Danio rerio: one gene and its partners. The protein of the gene in region 4 interacts with the protein of the main gene of each other region in a pairwise test. Links are inferred from orthologs where the notes say so. Each region holds a gene or a part of one and is shown on either strand. Other genes may lie near its edges.

Evidence for each region. The genes of interacting proteins can lie anywhere in the genome.
Region 1: the proteins of sorbs3 (region 4) and sh2d4a interact in binary tests that used the Homo sapiens proteins (3 or more experiments, as listed by UniProt). The two-hybrid records come from large-scale screens. The link is inferred for Danio rerio from reciprocal best matches to the Homo sapiens genes SORBS3 and SH2D4A.
Region 2: the proteins of sorbs3 (region 4) and cpne2 interact in binary tests that used the Homo sapiens proteins (3 or more experiments, as listed by UniProt). The two-hybrid records come from large-scale screens. The link is inferred for Danio rerio from reciprocal best matches to the Homo sapiens genes SORBS3 and CPNE2.
Region 3: the proteins of sorbs3 (region 4) and trim23 interact in binary tests that used the Homo sapiens proteins (3 or more experiments, as listed by UniProt). The two-hybrid records come from large-scale screens. The link is inferred for Danio rerio from reciprocal best matches to the Homo sapiens genes SORBS3 and TRIM23.

The regions. Positions count from the first base shown.
Region 1 is NC_133185.1:7,480,439-7,483,959, forward strand, and holds part of sh2d4a (SH2 domain-containing protein 4A), read right to left. Parts: intron 1,152-3,521; coding exon 992-1,151; intron 1-991. UniProt on the Homo sapiens protein: Inhibits estrogen-induced cell proliferation by competing with PLCG for binding to ESR1, blocking the effect of estrogen on PLCG and repressing estrogen-induced proliferation. May play a role in T-cell development and function.
Region 2 is NC_133193.1:19,062,502-19,066,022, reverse strand, and holds part of cpne2 (copine-2), read right to left. Parts: intron 2,578-3,521; coding exon 2,494-2,577; intron 2,084-2,493; coding exon 2,024-2,083; intron 1-2,023.
Region 3 is NC_133185.1:12,464,524-12,468,044, forward strand, and holds part of trim23 (E3 ubiquitin-protein ligase TRIM23), read right to left. Parts: coding exon 3,441-3,521; intron 3,362-3,440; coding exon 3,227-3,361; intron 1-3,226.
Region 4 is NC_133183.1:45,217,459-45,220,979, forward strand, and holds part of sorbs3 (vinexin), read right to left. Parts: intron 1,421-3,521; coding exon 1,332-1,420; intron 1,153-1,331; coding exon 1,046-1,152; intron 1-1,045. UniProt on the Homo sapiens protein: Vinexin alpha isoform promotes up-regulation of actin stress fiber formation. Vinexin beta isoform plays a role in cell spreading and enhances the activation of JNK/SAPK in response to EGF stimulation by using its third SH3 domain.

The DNA of each region.
Region 1 (3,521 bases), on a different chromosome or scaffold from region 4:
CGACATGCGCAAGTGTTTCTCTATGTTTTCATTGGAGTTGTTCACAATACTGATCCATCCACAGAGTTTGTGATGTAGTCAAATGTTTACAAACACAAGCGCAACCGTTTAGAGCTCATTTCTAGTTAATGATGTCAGAATTTACCGGCATTTTGTGATGGATGTGTGAATGCTTTTTTCCGGAAAAATTCTGTAACGTCCTCGCCTGTGTGAACAGGGCTTTTTTTGAATTTACCGGTAAAGTCGTTCTGGAAATTTTCCGAATATTTACCGGTATCACTGTGTGAAAGGGGCTAATGTCTAAATCCTAAATAGAACACACAATAAAATAAGTTATATGCACCAAGAATATAAACGACAGTACATAAATATATACTAATATTTCAGATTCTCATGCTGTATTTCATCAAATAATAATTGTGGTTGCGTCATTAATGAAAGCTATTGACCTTATTCTAAAATGCGGAAGTGCGCTTGTTTTTGCGATTGTTTTAAAACTTCAGATTCAATCGTCTATTGGAGAAATGACTAGGAATAATTAACGGTCAAACTAATTACTCTACAAACAAATGTTTGCATGACTAGTTGGCGCCAATAGCCTAGTGGTTAGTGCGTCAACATATAGCACCGAGGTGCTCGCAGTGACCAGAGTTCGATTCCTAACTCAAGGTCCTTTGCTGATCCTTCCTCTATCTATGCTCCCCACACATTCCTGTCTCTACATCTCCACTGTCCTATCAATAAAGGTGAAAACCCCTAAAAAATAATTATAAAAAAATATATATATTTTTTTTTTTGCATGACTATACAAACCAAGTAGAACAATATAATAAGGAAATATCAGTTTACAACATCAAACAGAGAAACGAGACGTTTTTAATGTCTAAAAATGAATGAAAGTGAATGAGACCGGAAGTCTCGAGTCAGAAATATTCAAATGGCTGCGCCCGCTCGTCTACGAAGAATAAGGTGAATAATATAGTTGTTTTACCTGAGTTCCTCAGCCTCTCTCTGGGCCTGCAGGGCTGCTCTCTGGGCCATGATCTCATCACAGACTTGATCATAGGGTTTGTCATTTTGATGTTCTCCCATCACCCAAACCCAAACATCATCATCCAGACCCTTCATCCACGACACACTCTTTCCTGAAACTGCATAAATTACATGTATTTCAAAACATTCACACTACTGACAATATTTTTTTGCATTGAATGAACGTAGTGACCAGCCATGCCTCATGAATATCATGGTAACCCTTTACTAAATCCTCTATTTGATAATATTAGTTAATGAATGTCAACATGTAAAAACAATGAACAACACATGTAATTTTTATGTAAACGTGCACTTGACATAAGCGTGAACATTACACTCACTTTTTTGGCAGTGCCTCTTTTGAGATGTCGTGTCAAGTTAAAATAATATAAACCTTTAAATGCAGCACCACTCATCTGTTTACAGTAGCAAGCTATTTTATTTGATGGCAACATGGTGGAGCTTTTTAAAGGTCTACGTGACTGAGACTTTTATTTCAGTATGTTGATGTACTTCCAACCAAAACGGAATATTAAGTATGAGTGTGGCTGTCTTTTGTACATCATTCTCTCACATTAAACTAAAAAGTTAAGGGAGGGTATTAATATGCACTTAGTTTGGAAGCCCTCAGGTTGACATCAACAGAAAAATTGACACTTCATACACTTAAGCGAATGGTCCAACTTGCATTAAAGATTAACAAAACAAACAGTTTTTTTTCAATGGATTATAACTTGCACAGATTAATAACTTACTTTAAAAATAACAATGAGTGCTAGCAAAATAAACATTGCAAATTTAGATCTCATGTGGACTTTCAAAATCACTCTTGACCTTGGTGTCTCACCATTTTTAGATGCAAAGACACATTCTGTATGAACGACCCTAAAGTATCTTCATCAGCCATTTAGATTCATGGACTCAACAAACCCCATAGTGTAACTAATGCTAACATGCACAACTTTAGATTTTAATAACGCATTACTGAATGTTAAACTATGATTAATAAATGCTGTGCAAGTATTTTTCATTCTTACTCCATGCTAGTAAATACATGAACTTAACATTAGTCTTCCACCGCCCATGGACCTGTAGCTAAAGTTTTTGATTGTCTTAATTTTAAAAGTTTTCTTAAAGGGGCAGCTATTTTACCCCTTTTTCAGGATTTAATACAAGTCTTTTGTGTCTCTAGAATGTGCCTGTAAAGTTTCAGCTCAAAAAACCCATCAGATTATTTATTATTCCGTTTTAAAAATGGGAAACTTGAGATGTTGAGACATTGTAGCTGTTTTTGTTGCCTGTGCCTTTGATACAAATGAGCTAGTTCTCCCCGTCTAACGTTCCCTTGTGCATGGCTTCACAATCTCTGGTTAGATTACCGAAGAGACCGAGCAGGCTGATGCTCAATCAACAGGATAAGTTAGTGCCAGGCCTTGTAGAAATGTAAAAACCAAGAGAAGAATTTTAAAAGTAACTCGATAGTGTACAGGCAATCAGTGCTAAGCGCGTGAAACTGGTGTAACGTGGTCATGTTTTTTGGCACCTGTTTAAAGCGGTAAAGTCTAGATTGGATATGCGGCCGGCCAGAAGTGCGATATACACATTAATAAAGCAGCATTTTTTTTAATGACACTGTATAACAACAACTGTTTTTACATTACTGTGACGGTTGGGTTTAGGGTTGGGGTGGGGGTGGACGTTAATAAAATACAACAAATGAGAAATTTAATAAATAATAGAAATATTTCTCGTTAACTTCCGGCCGCAAACGTATCAGCTCTAGCAACAACCGTTTAAAGCCTTGCAGCAGCATTTTGACTTCCTCTCTTCCTTATCTTATGTGTTGGGTGTCAGAAGCTTAAAGTTGTGTAGCGCCATCTAATGATAAGGAGTGATTTTGCATACTCTTCTGCTTGACGCCAGTGAAAATTGCTTGGGTTTGAATACGGAAAAACGTCTCGTAAAACGCTGACGAATAACGCAAACGAAAAGCGTCCCGGTGTGTAGGAGCCTTAAGAAATAAAATTACTATGGGAGTCAATGGGTGCCAGCAAGCAACTTTTTTAAAAAATATCTTCTTTTGTGTTAAAGAGAAGAAGAAAGCGCAAATAGGTTTTGAACAAGTGAAGAGTTAATAAATGATAGCTGAATTTTCAGTTTTCCATCGCCGACGGCAGATAGACATCACAATGCGGAGCCAGCATCACGATCCTCTGCCCCGCCTTCGTCGCAGCAGCAACCCGCTCGAGAAATACACACACTGGCATTTCATATAGCATTTCTGAAAAGATCTCCCTCCACACTATACCGCTGAAAACGCACGCGCACACACACACATAAACACACATAAACACACACACACACACACACACACACACACACACACACACACACACACACACGAGCATGCGCTGCAGCATACGCTCATGTCTGAGCTCCAGGTGACTGCGGGTGCTTTAAACACAAAACCTCAGAGAGCAGTGCAC
Region 2 (3,521 bases), on a different chromosome or scaffold from region 4:
TTCTAAACACCTTAAAGTGACATTCAAGGCTTAACTAGGTTAATTAGGTCAACTAGGCAGGTTAGGGTAATTAGGCAAGTCATTATATAATGATGATTGGTTCTGTATACTATCAGAAAAAATATATATCTTAAAGGGGCTAAAAATTTAAAAAACTGCTTTTATTTTAGCTGAAATAAAACAAATAAGACTTTCTCCAGAAGAAAAAAATATTATCAGACATACTGTGAAAATTTCTTTGCTCTGTTAAACATCATTTGGGAGATATTCAAAAAAGAAAAAAAAAAATCAAACGGGGCTAATAATTCTGACTTAAACTGTATGTCTACATAGCAATCCCTAATTTGTCATTTATAAGGGGGGAGTTTTCTGAGGGAACCCTGGGTTCGAGGATATTATGAGTTCAGGGCTTTCTCCCGAGACAGCTTTCCAAAAACGTTTTAAAATCAATCATCAGCTAAGTGTGAACTCTTGAATTAAAATATACTGAATTAATGTGATGTAATGTCAAGCAAAACAAAGTTCATTTTGAGTTAGGAAAGAGCTTGAAACGTTCTCTCCAGCTGATAAACACCTTTAAACTACCATTGGTCAATGACGATTATAAAAAGGTAGATGGGCTTTAAGTGTGTGTTAGTATTAAGAGGGAAGCCCATATATGCATGCAAGTTGAATGATTTGCATGTGAATATATGTTTATCATAGCCAGTGGACCTGGGTAACAATAAGGTAATACCCCCAAATCCAACCTTACCATAATTTTTTCCAGCAATGTTGACATAATTTTCTTAGCTATATTAGCTTAAATATAATTTGCTGATGGAGGTACAAAAACACAAAACATTTTCATGCAAATACTTTTTCCCTGACTCAAGAGTCCAATGTCTCCAATGTAAATAATCTTAAACTTTAAGAATAAATATTACAAAATGTTTTTTGCAGATTTTCACCCTAAAGAAACTGTTGTAAAATAATAAGGTTCTTTCTTCATTTAGATGTTTTTCATAGAACCATAAGTGCAAAAAAAAAGAACCTTGATTTAAAAAGAAGTGTATAATATATCTATAAAAGCGAGTAAAGGTAATCTGGACAAGTTATGTGGCTTCTGGGTTAAAAAAAATCTAGCAATTTTTTAAGAATTGTGAGAATTGTTTATGCGTTCCATGCAATTATAATGGGATTGTAATTGCATGAAACAAAATAAATTCTCACAATTCTCAAAAGTGTTTTTCACAGTGATGTCATACAATATCCTTTTTTAGGTCCTCAAAGAACCTCCTGGTGAAAAGTTATTCAAAGAACAATTTTCATTATGTGGTTTCATTGTGGTCTGGTGATGTTAACGGCTCTTCAAGGAATCAGCCATACCAATAAAGAACCTTGATTTTGAAGAGTGTGAAGGCTTATGATTATCTGCAGAGCAACAAACAAGCGTGCATCATAAGTTGGCGTCATACAACAAACAAGATATCAAAATCACTTTCCTTTGTTTAAAAGCTTCTCTCGCTTTCTCTCCCTCTGTTGTTTTTTACATCCCCCTGTCTCTCTCTCTGTCTTTAGTTTCAAATGAGAGACATGGACCTCTACACTGCAGCACACTGTAACTATAGCAACCTGTGAATTTCACTCACTTTCTGTATCATTTCTTACCAATCACACTGGTGAAGGCAATTGAGTCACATAAAGAACCCATATATAGAGTCTGTTCAACTGGACAGTGCAAGGGGAAAAAAAAACAGGCTTTTAGCGTACCGGAATCAACAAATTTGACTTCAACTATTAGCTCCTCAAAATTCAATAATGTAAACCATACAATTCTGTCACTTCACGTTCTAAATGCGTTCTGTCATTGAGGTTTTCAGATTAAATTTTCATCAGTGACAGAATATATTTCTGAAATCATCTGCATACAAATGATGCTTCTGCATTTTGCATGCATGAACCCCCCCCCCCCTCCCCCCTCCCCTCCAATATCTGACAAGAACAAAGATTTCAATTCCAGAGGTGACGTTATCATACTCACAGTAAACATGAGTTGACAGCCACCCAGAATGTAGTCCAGGAAGGAGTAGTCTCTTGTAATCTAACAAAAAAAAACACACACGTCTTATATTAATATAAGCACATCACATAAGCCATCCTTCCACAAAGGTTGAAAAATGGTTCATTTGAAAATTTAGTGAGAACAACTGAGTCATGTTCTGTTTTAATGCCTGAATCCATCATAGGGCTGATTAAATGGTGACGGTGCAGGAGTGACAGGTGTTTTGTGCTGATATTAATACATGCTATTTAAAGGGGATTTAGCACTATAAAACTAATCTGTCCTTTCAGAGAAGCTGCAATTAAAGACCCTTTTATTTGTAATACAATTGTAATTAAATAAGCCGGAACATGGAAGGTGCTTTAATGTGCAAGCAGAATGTATTTAATCATTTCTTTTGCCTTGTGAATAGTGAATGTGTCACCATTCTTTGTTTCTTATGTCCTTACCTTGCATGACTTCAGAATTATGATTCCCGAGTTTTTGTAACTCTTTTTTTTCTGCTTCTTGGGATTAATGCATTCAAACTCAACCTGTGAACGGAAGGTACTGTGTTACTATAGTGCAGGATAAATAGTTTTTGTATGTATTAGACAATGTTGACAACATTAAATAGTGTTTTCGTAAATACATGTACATATTGATTGTTATTCATGTCTAAAATGATTTATATTATTTCAGTAATTTGTATAACATATCTTTAAGTTTTACAGTAATTCAAACCCCAATATCCAAAACTTACCCCAGACAGTTTTAAGGAAAAAATTTAAATGTAATAATAATAATCATAAAAAAAGAAAATCCAATCAAACACATTTCACATTCCACAACTTCAGACTTCAAAAGCTTCTTCAGATATTGCAAAATTAAGCAGATTAATTCCTTATTATGTGTGTGAGTTTTTTAAGAGCCAAACATGTTATAAGGTTTCTTAACCAAAGTCCAATGGAGGGGCAATTAACATTTATCCAACACAGAACAATACATCATCTTGCTGGTATTAAACACAAATTTATTCCAGTAATTTGGAATGTTTGCATAAAATAGTAAATATTAGCCATAAAAAACTCATTTTGGTGAAGAATTAAAACAAATAATACATGTTAATATACACTGATTGGCCACTTTATTAGGTACAGAATTCAGAATTGCCCTAATCCTTTGTGGCATAGATTTAACAAGGTACTAGAAATATTCCTCAGAGATTTTGGTCCATATTGACATGATAGCATCACGCAGTTGCTGCAGATTTGTCGGCTGCACATCCATGATGCAAATCTCCCGTTCCACCTCGTCCCAAAGGTGCTCTATTGGGTTGAGATCTGGTGACCCTACCATCCGAATGTCGTAGTAGAAATCGAGACTCATCAGACCAGGCAACGTTTTTCCAATCTTCTATTGTTCAATTTTGGTGAGTCTGTAATTGTGAATTGTAGCCTCAGTATCCTGTTTTCAGCTGACAGGAGTGGCACCCGAT
Region 3 (3,521 bases), on a different chromosome or scaffold from region 4:
GATCAACCACCTCACAATATGCACAAAAATATTTGAAGGTAGTTAATACATTATATGTGCTATTAGATATGGCTGTCATTTACACGCACGTATATAATCTTTCTTTCTGTTTGCTTCTAACTAATTGAAAAGTGGAGACTAGGATATCTAACATGTCACAACTGATAAAAATGTAGTCAAATAATGAGCTGTAAAGAATAATTTATTTTAAATCGTCTATAACTAGGCAAATGACAACACAATAAGCGGGATAATCAATAAAATGCCTCAGTTTAGTGTCGGGTACCCTTCTATTAAATAAAATCTACAGCAGACTGTCACTAAAATAACATGAAAAAAGTAATGATTAATAAAAAATGACTGAAAATAAACTAATGAAAATCAGATATTGCTTTCAAATTTAGCTTTAACAAAAGAAGTATTAAAAAAGTCAAAATAATAATACTGGCCTGCATAAAACTAAACAGTACCAACAATTTTGTCTATGTCTGTCTGTAGCCGCTTTTTCACTTTGGTTCTGAACCATTCTTTATGCCACTCTCTCAGGGTGCTAAACATAAATACATGTCACAGCACCTTTATTTATTTAGATGTAATATGTTGAGCAGCTCTGGGCAAATTTTAAAAATGTAATGTGATGAAAAAAAATGATTGGAGGGGAAATAAATATATTTCAAATCTCTGTACAGAAAAATAAACAATGACAATGCAACAATAATAATGCATTTGTATAATAGTTGCAGAAATATATATTTTGACAGGCCTTGTCAAAAGTCAGCAGGCACTTTCACTAATACAAAATATAACACTAAAATTATTTTATTTAACAATCAGTTAAATTACACAGCGGTTTTATATCAAAAGTAATGTGGTCATTAAAAATCCAATGGCACTTCTCGTGAAAGAGTAGGGGTGTAACCCGGTGTCCTGGCCAAAGTCCCTCAATCGGCCCTTCCTGTCATGGCCTCCCAATCATCCTCATCCACTGAATTGGCTCTATAACGGTCTCTCCACTCCACAAATAGCTGGTGTGTGGTGAGCGCACTGGTGCCGTTGTCCTGTTGCAGCCGTCGCATCATCCAAGTAGATGCTGCACATTGGTGGTGGTGTGGAGAGACCCTGCTCATGATTGTGAAGGGCTTTTGTGTATGGCCATACACAATAAATGCGATATATAAATATACAATACATTACATTACAAGTTGATAATGATATAAAATATACTAGCTATATTTTGATGGTAAAATAACCATTTAAATGATGGCTGTTATTTCTTTCAGCATTCAAACATTAAATAACGAATGCATCAAGTAAAATAAAAACGAATATAACATACAGCGCAATATAAACCATATATAGGACTATTATATTTAGCAAAATGCTGCTCTTTTTATCTTTGTATTTTTGAAATTTTATTTTTGTTATTTTTAATATTTTTTTGTCTTCGTAATTAAAGCTATAGACAAATTCCTGCTTGACAATTTAGAAAATATTTTGCATAGCTACCCAGTATAATGTTAAAGATCACCAAGAACAAAAAAAAAAACCAAACACAAAAATGTGTTACATGGCCCCATAAACATCCAACTTATATTTAACTGAATCATATAAATGGTGAAAATTGCTCTTTTCATTTCAATAAAACATTTGTTTTAGTTTTTTTTAGTAAAAACAATACTCACATTTAGAAATCAACAGCTACATTTGGTAAAGTTCTCTCCCACATCAGACTGAGTTTTTTGCCATCAAAATACAGCGTTGCATGCAATAAACTCACTCTCAGTCAGGCGGAGTAAAGGTCTCATTGCCTAGGATGTCAATCAAATGAATCAAGCCCTAGCCACGAATAAAATAAAAGGCTATTTTATTATTCTAAGATTTTAGATGACGGGTTAGTAATTAGATCATAAATGGTTATATTCAAGTCAATGAAATAATAGCTTTAATAAATAAAATATGTTCATAAGAATGTGGTGGGCTAGTGATTCCCTTCTCTGCCAGAGACTGCTTTATGGTTTTAAAACTTTTTTAAACTGTAACGTTTAGACTTGTATATTTTTTTTATATTAAATGTAGTAGTTTACTTATGGATGTCTGATGTCTAGTGCGCTTCCGCTGAGCCAGCTGTGGTAGCTTGGCAACAGACCGGCGACGTCAACACCCAGAATCTGTCGGCACAGTTCAGCACGTGGACGGAAAACTCCACGGGATGACTGATTTGTAATCGTGATGCAACGTTCTAGGCTCAGTAGAGAAACAACCGCAACCGTAACGAACTGTTCTTAGAACGGTTTGGCATAATAGTGGAAAAGCAGCTTGTGTCTCTTATTTTTATTATTAGGTTTTATAAATGTTTATATTAGTTTTAAATATTTCCTTGGCAACTAGCAGAAACATTTTGTATTTCATTTTTTATTAGCTTTAATATAACTTTTAATTGTATGCTTTTGTTTAAATTAATTATAAATAGATAACATTGATTTACATATTAAACTGCATTAGACTACAGTTTTTTCAACAAATGCCATAGAAAAGGGGTGCCCAATACTTTGATCGGGAACTACCGGTTGATCACAAAGCAAGCATGGGTAGACCGCGTGGCATTCAAAAAAACAGACATAAGCCTATCATCCATCCTCACTGAAATTTGTCGCTTGATTGACATACAGGGAAGCCAGTCCTATATTTGACCTTTTCTGATGCATGGATAACCACACATGCGCATAAAACTATGCCAACAGCATAAATATCATTCCACCATGACTGATAATCATTTGGTAATGTGCTTGAGGCTGGCTATCAGCAGCTACTGTCCGAACTATACTTCCCAGGCTGATTCCATTCAGTGCAAGTCATCAGAGTAAGGTAACGACAAAAATATGTACAGAGTTGTAGGCTTTTGCACAATATGGGTTCATACAGTTATGCAAGGTACATCAATATATATATAGATTGTACAAATACAGGATTCTCAATACAGGATCTCAATATTGTCACAAAAGTAATATATGTTTTGCATTTTTATATTGGGTAGATCAATTTGACTTAGTCATTTTATAAGTAGCTCGCATGCTGAAAAGGTGTGGGCATCCCTGCAAGAGAGCTACAAATACCATTCATCATTTTTTAAAGTTAGTAAATTAAGTTAAAAAATCCATCTTGTACATCACTGACAGTAACATGCATTTCTTTTTCTCTCAACAATGATCTATATGATTAACAGTACCTTAGTGAAAGTAACAGGGATGCCTGCATCCAGCTGAATGTGATCGGCCAGCTCTGTAAACTGCTGCTGCTGTTTCTGCAGTGTCTCCAGCAGCCGGTTGATCTCCTGTTTCGCCAAAACCACCCTGCAATCATCCTGGCACAAAAACAACAAACTCAAATTCCTGATCTTTTGATCATGCTGGTTGTGTGACTTAGCATGCCTTAGATTGTACCTGCTGCAGTGTTTTCTCGCAGTGCAGGCAGGCTGTGGACACCTGAGACAGCAGTATGGTCATATCCTCCTGCTGCTGGCG
Region 4 (3,521 bases):
TTGTTTGAAACCTACAGGTAATGCCTAGTTCAGACTGCGTGATTTTAGCCCCGATTTTGGCTCGCCGACAGGTTTTGAGAAATCGCCGACAAATGCCTAAAATCACAGGCAATTCGCTGCTTGTGAACGTGAGTGACAATCACACAGTATGAACGATTAAAGACGCGATCTGAGAGAATCGCAGATGAGTCGCCGATGCCTGTGAGATATTTGGCGTGCTGAATATCAGGAGCTGTCAGCGATTCAAACCATGCAGTGTGAATTGAGTTTTGACTGAAAATAACATCAGCGATCGCCTACAGCCAATGAGAGAGCGGCATTCACTTATATGTGCGTGTGTGTATACCTGCTGCAGGCCAGCGGGAGGCTGGGGGAGAAGTTAAAAGCGCTCTTTTTGGTTTATTTGGACCCACGAAATGGAGGAAAAACTAGTGGAGGTTTGACAGGACTCAGGAGCAACCGTGTCTGTTTGACATTTCATACAGAAAGAAATTAGTTTATTATCAACGTTGAGGAGAAATGGCTAATTCCCTTTAAACCCAGGTGAGCAAATATGTACATGTTCTACCCCATTAAAAGGCTTCTTTCTCATTATGTAGTTAATAACAAAAGATATACTACATGTTTTTGGCTGTGAGACGTAGTTTGGACGAAGTTGTCGGCGATTCTCCCTATAGTAAAGTCATGCAATGTGAATGTCCATGTCGCTGAACCATCTTGCAGTGTAAACAAAGCAGCGACGAAACGCTAGCCCAGATAGTCATGCAGTGTGAAAACATCTGTGACACGACTACTTTGAATATCATGCAGTCTGAACTTGGCATAAGTGTGTTGGAGCAGGGTTGGAACTAAACTGTGGAGGGCTTCGGCCCTCCAGGAATTGAGTTTGACACCCCTGCCTTAAAGGGACTTTGCGTGAAGACTTTGGAGGGGGGACAGGGTGAAAAAGTGTTTTAATTTTGGAGTGCAATACCTAGTTCAATCACTAGGTGTCAATCTTACACACTGCACTTTTAATTATGATGTCAAAAATATTTATAATTACCTACAAACCAGCCATCGTCACACTTCTCTAGGACCTGAACGATGTCTCCTTCTCTCAATTCCAGCTCATCTCTATTCTGGGGTTTATAGTTGTAAACTGCTTTATACCTGAACGTAAACAAAATAAAACCATTCCAAATAATGGACTTTCAAATTTTCCAAATTATAAATAAGTACAACATAGCTGGATTAAACCTGAATATCTGAATTGTACTGCTTTAAAAGGACAATTCTCTCAAAAAAATGGAGAGTGTCATGTTTTATTCTGCTTCATGTCAAGTACTCACGGTTGTCGCAAATGACCCATGTTCGCAGGAGACTGGGATGTGGAAGAAATCACAGTGTTGGGCTGTGAAGACTGTGTCCTGGCCACATCCTATAAATAAGTGTTAACAATGTAACACACAGTAACAACAACAGTGTTTTCAAGTTGCTGTTTTTCATTCCCTTTTCCCTAAAAATTATTGTACCAAATGGCTTTATTAACACACATGCAGCATCACTTTTACATGATTGTATGATGTTACTAGTGTACAGATTGTATAGCATTTCTTTCCTCTTTTGGTTTTCACGGTGTATGTATTGTTTAATGAAAAATCTGACTTTTGTGGAAATTATAAAACACTTTAATTCCTTGATGAATAACAAGTTTAGTGTTTATTTGACATTGAATTTGCAATGATATGCAAGTGCAACTGTTAGTTTACATCAGTGTAAAGTATCTTTGAGGGGGACTTTTTTATTATTTTCTTTAAAGAAACGTAATTATGCAAACTTTAAATAGACGAGACACAAAATATGCAAAATGCAAAATAGCTGTTCCCACTTTATCCCTTATACCAGTGAACTTACATGATCTCTATTTGTTTATGCAAGCACAGTGTGTAAACATTGAATCATACTGTATTATCTACATGTATAAAGCTGGTGCAACTTGTGAGCTGGTGAGCTTATGCTCACACATAATAACCTACTGAATATTATATGCTAGTACAAATGTAAAACAGGAGTTTAGGAAATGGGTACCTACACATTTTTTCCACATTGGAAAATACAAGTGTAACAAGAATTATTTAAGTGTATGGTGTACTTTTTTTTTTTTCTTCAGTTTCCTCAAGCAGACATCTATACTGCAAAATTCTGAAACTTACACCATCAGATATGGAAATTAATTTGGTGCTCAAAGCCCTACAGTGCATTATTTACAGTACTTTCTAGCTGTTGAGTGTACATGGGTTGTATATTAATTATGGTGGTCCATTGTGTGATTGACTTAACATAGGTTCATCCTGAAAATGTACCCCTTTATACATTTCTGGAGATCTCAAATTATATAGCCAGAGGAATGTATGACTGCATTTCGTCTTTAAAAGCTTTGAAAGCTTCGGGGCTGTATGTCACAGTTTCTTTTTCACACTCACCAGCTGACCACTTACCTGTGTGGACAGCTTTTCCGCTGTTACTAGTTGGAGTGGCAATGACTGACGACGGGGTTTTGAGTCTAGCAAAGAACAGTTTCAGAAAGCAGCTAAAAAAAACAATTAAAAAAATCTGCATCGCTTTTTAAAACACTATCGGTTGGGTTTAGGGATGAGTTGGGTGGGGGTATCGGAGAGACGGTCAGTCAGTTGACAGCGGCCTCTGGTAGATTTATGCAAGAAGAGCAGGTGCAAATGACACTCGTGAGAAAATTTTTAGATCTCAAAAAACATACACCGCAGCCTCTGGTGGATTCGCGTAAACAACCTGCAAAAAAAAAAAAACATAGCTCCTGGGACGTATTTAGCATTCTCCAGAAATATAGGGGTACATAATCAGAATGAGCCTAGGTTGAATTGATTGAATGCACTTCAGAATGTCAGTTATGGTTTGGACACCATTAGAAGGGCACATTATTCAAAGAAAATAGGGTGATTTCAGATACAGCTTGTTTTAGCAGACCTATATGTAAACGAAACACCAACTAAACCATTTTCATAGGCCAGTAGCTGCCTAGTTGCTCGCCTATACTGTATATACAGTATGTGGACAGTTTATGTTAAGTACATGAGTATTACGCAGAGTGTTACGCAGAGGATTGTGTTTTACAAGTTACTCAGAAATGCGACATTTTTACACACTCAGAAATAAAAAGGTACAACATCTATCACTGAGGTGGTACTTTTCAAATGGTTCACTTTTGTACCATACAAGTGGACATTAGCAGTTTTTGGGTACACTTTTGTTTCATTAAAAGGTTCCATTTTGTACCTTTAAGGTAAACTGTTAGACCCTTTTTTACAGTGGAATACGGTTTCCTTTTATTACAGCAAAACACTGGCTATTTTAGATTTATTTACTTCATAATCTTCAGCAAGGGCTAAGTACTTTTTAGGTATTAATATGTTTAAGGACCTTTTAGAAACAAAAATGTAACTTTTAAAAAGGTACTGCCACAGTGACAGAATTTGTACCTTTATTTCTGAGTGTGCACTTTA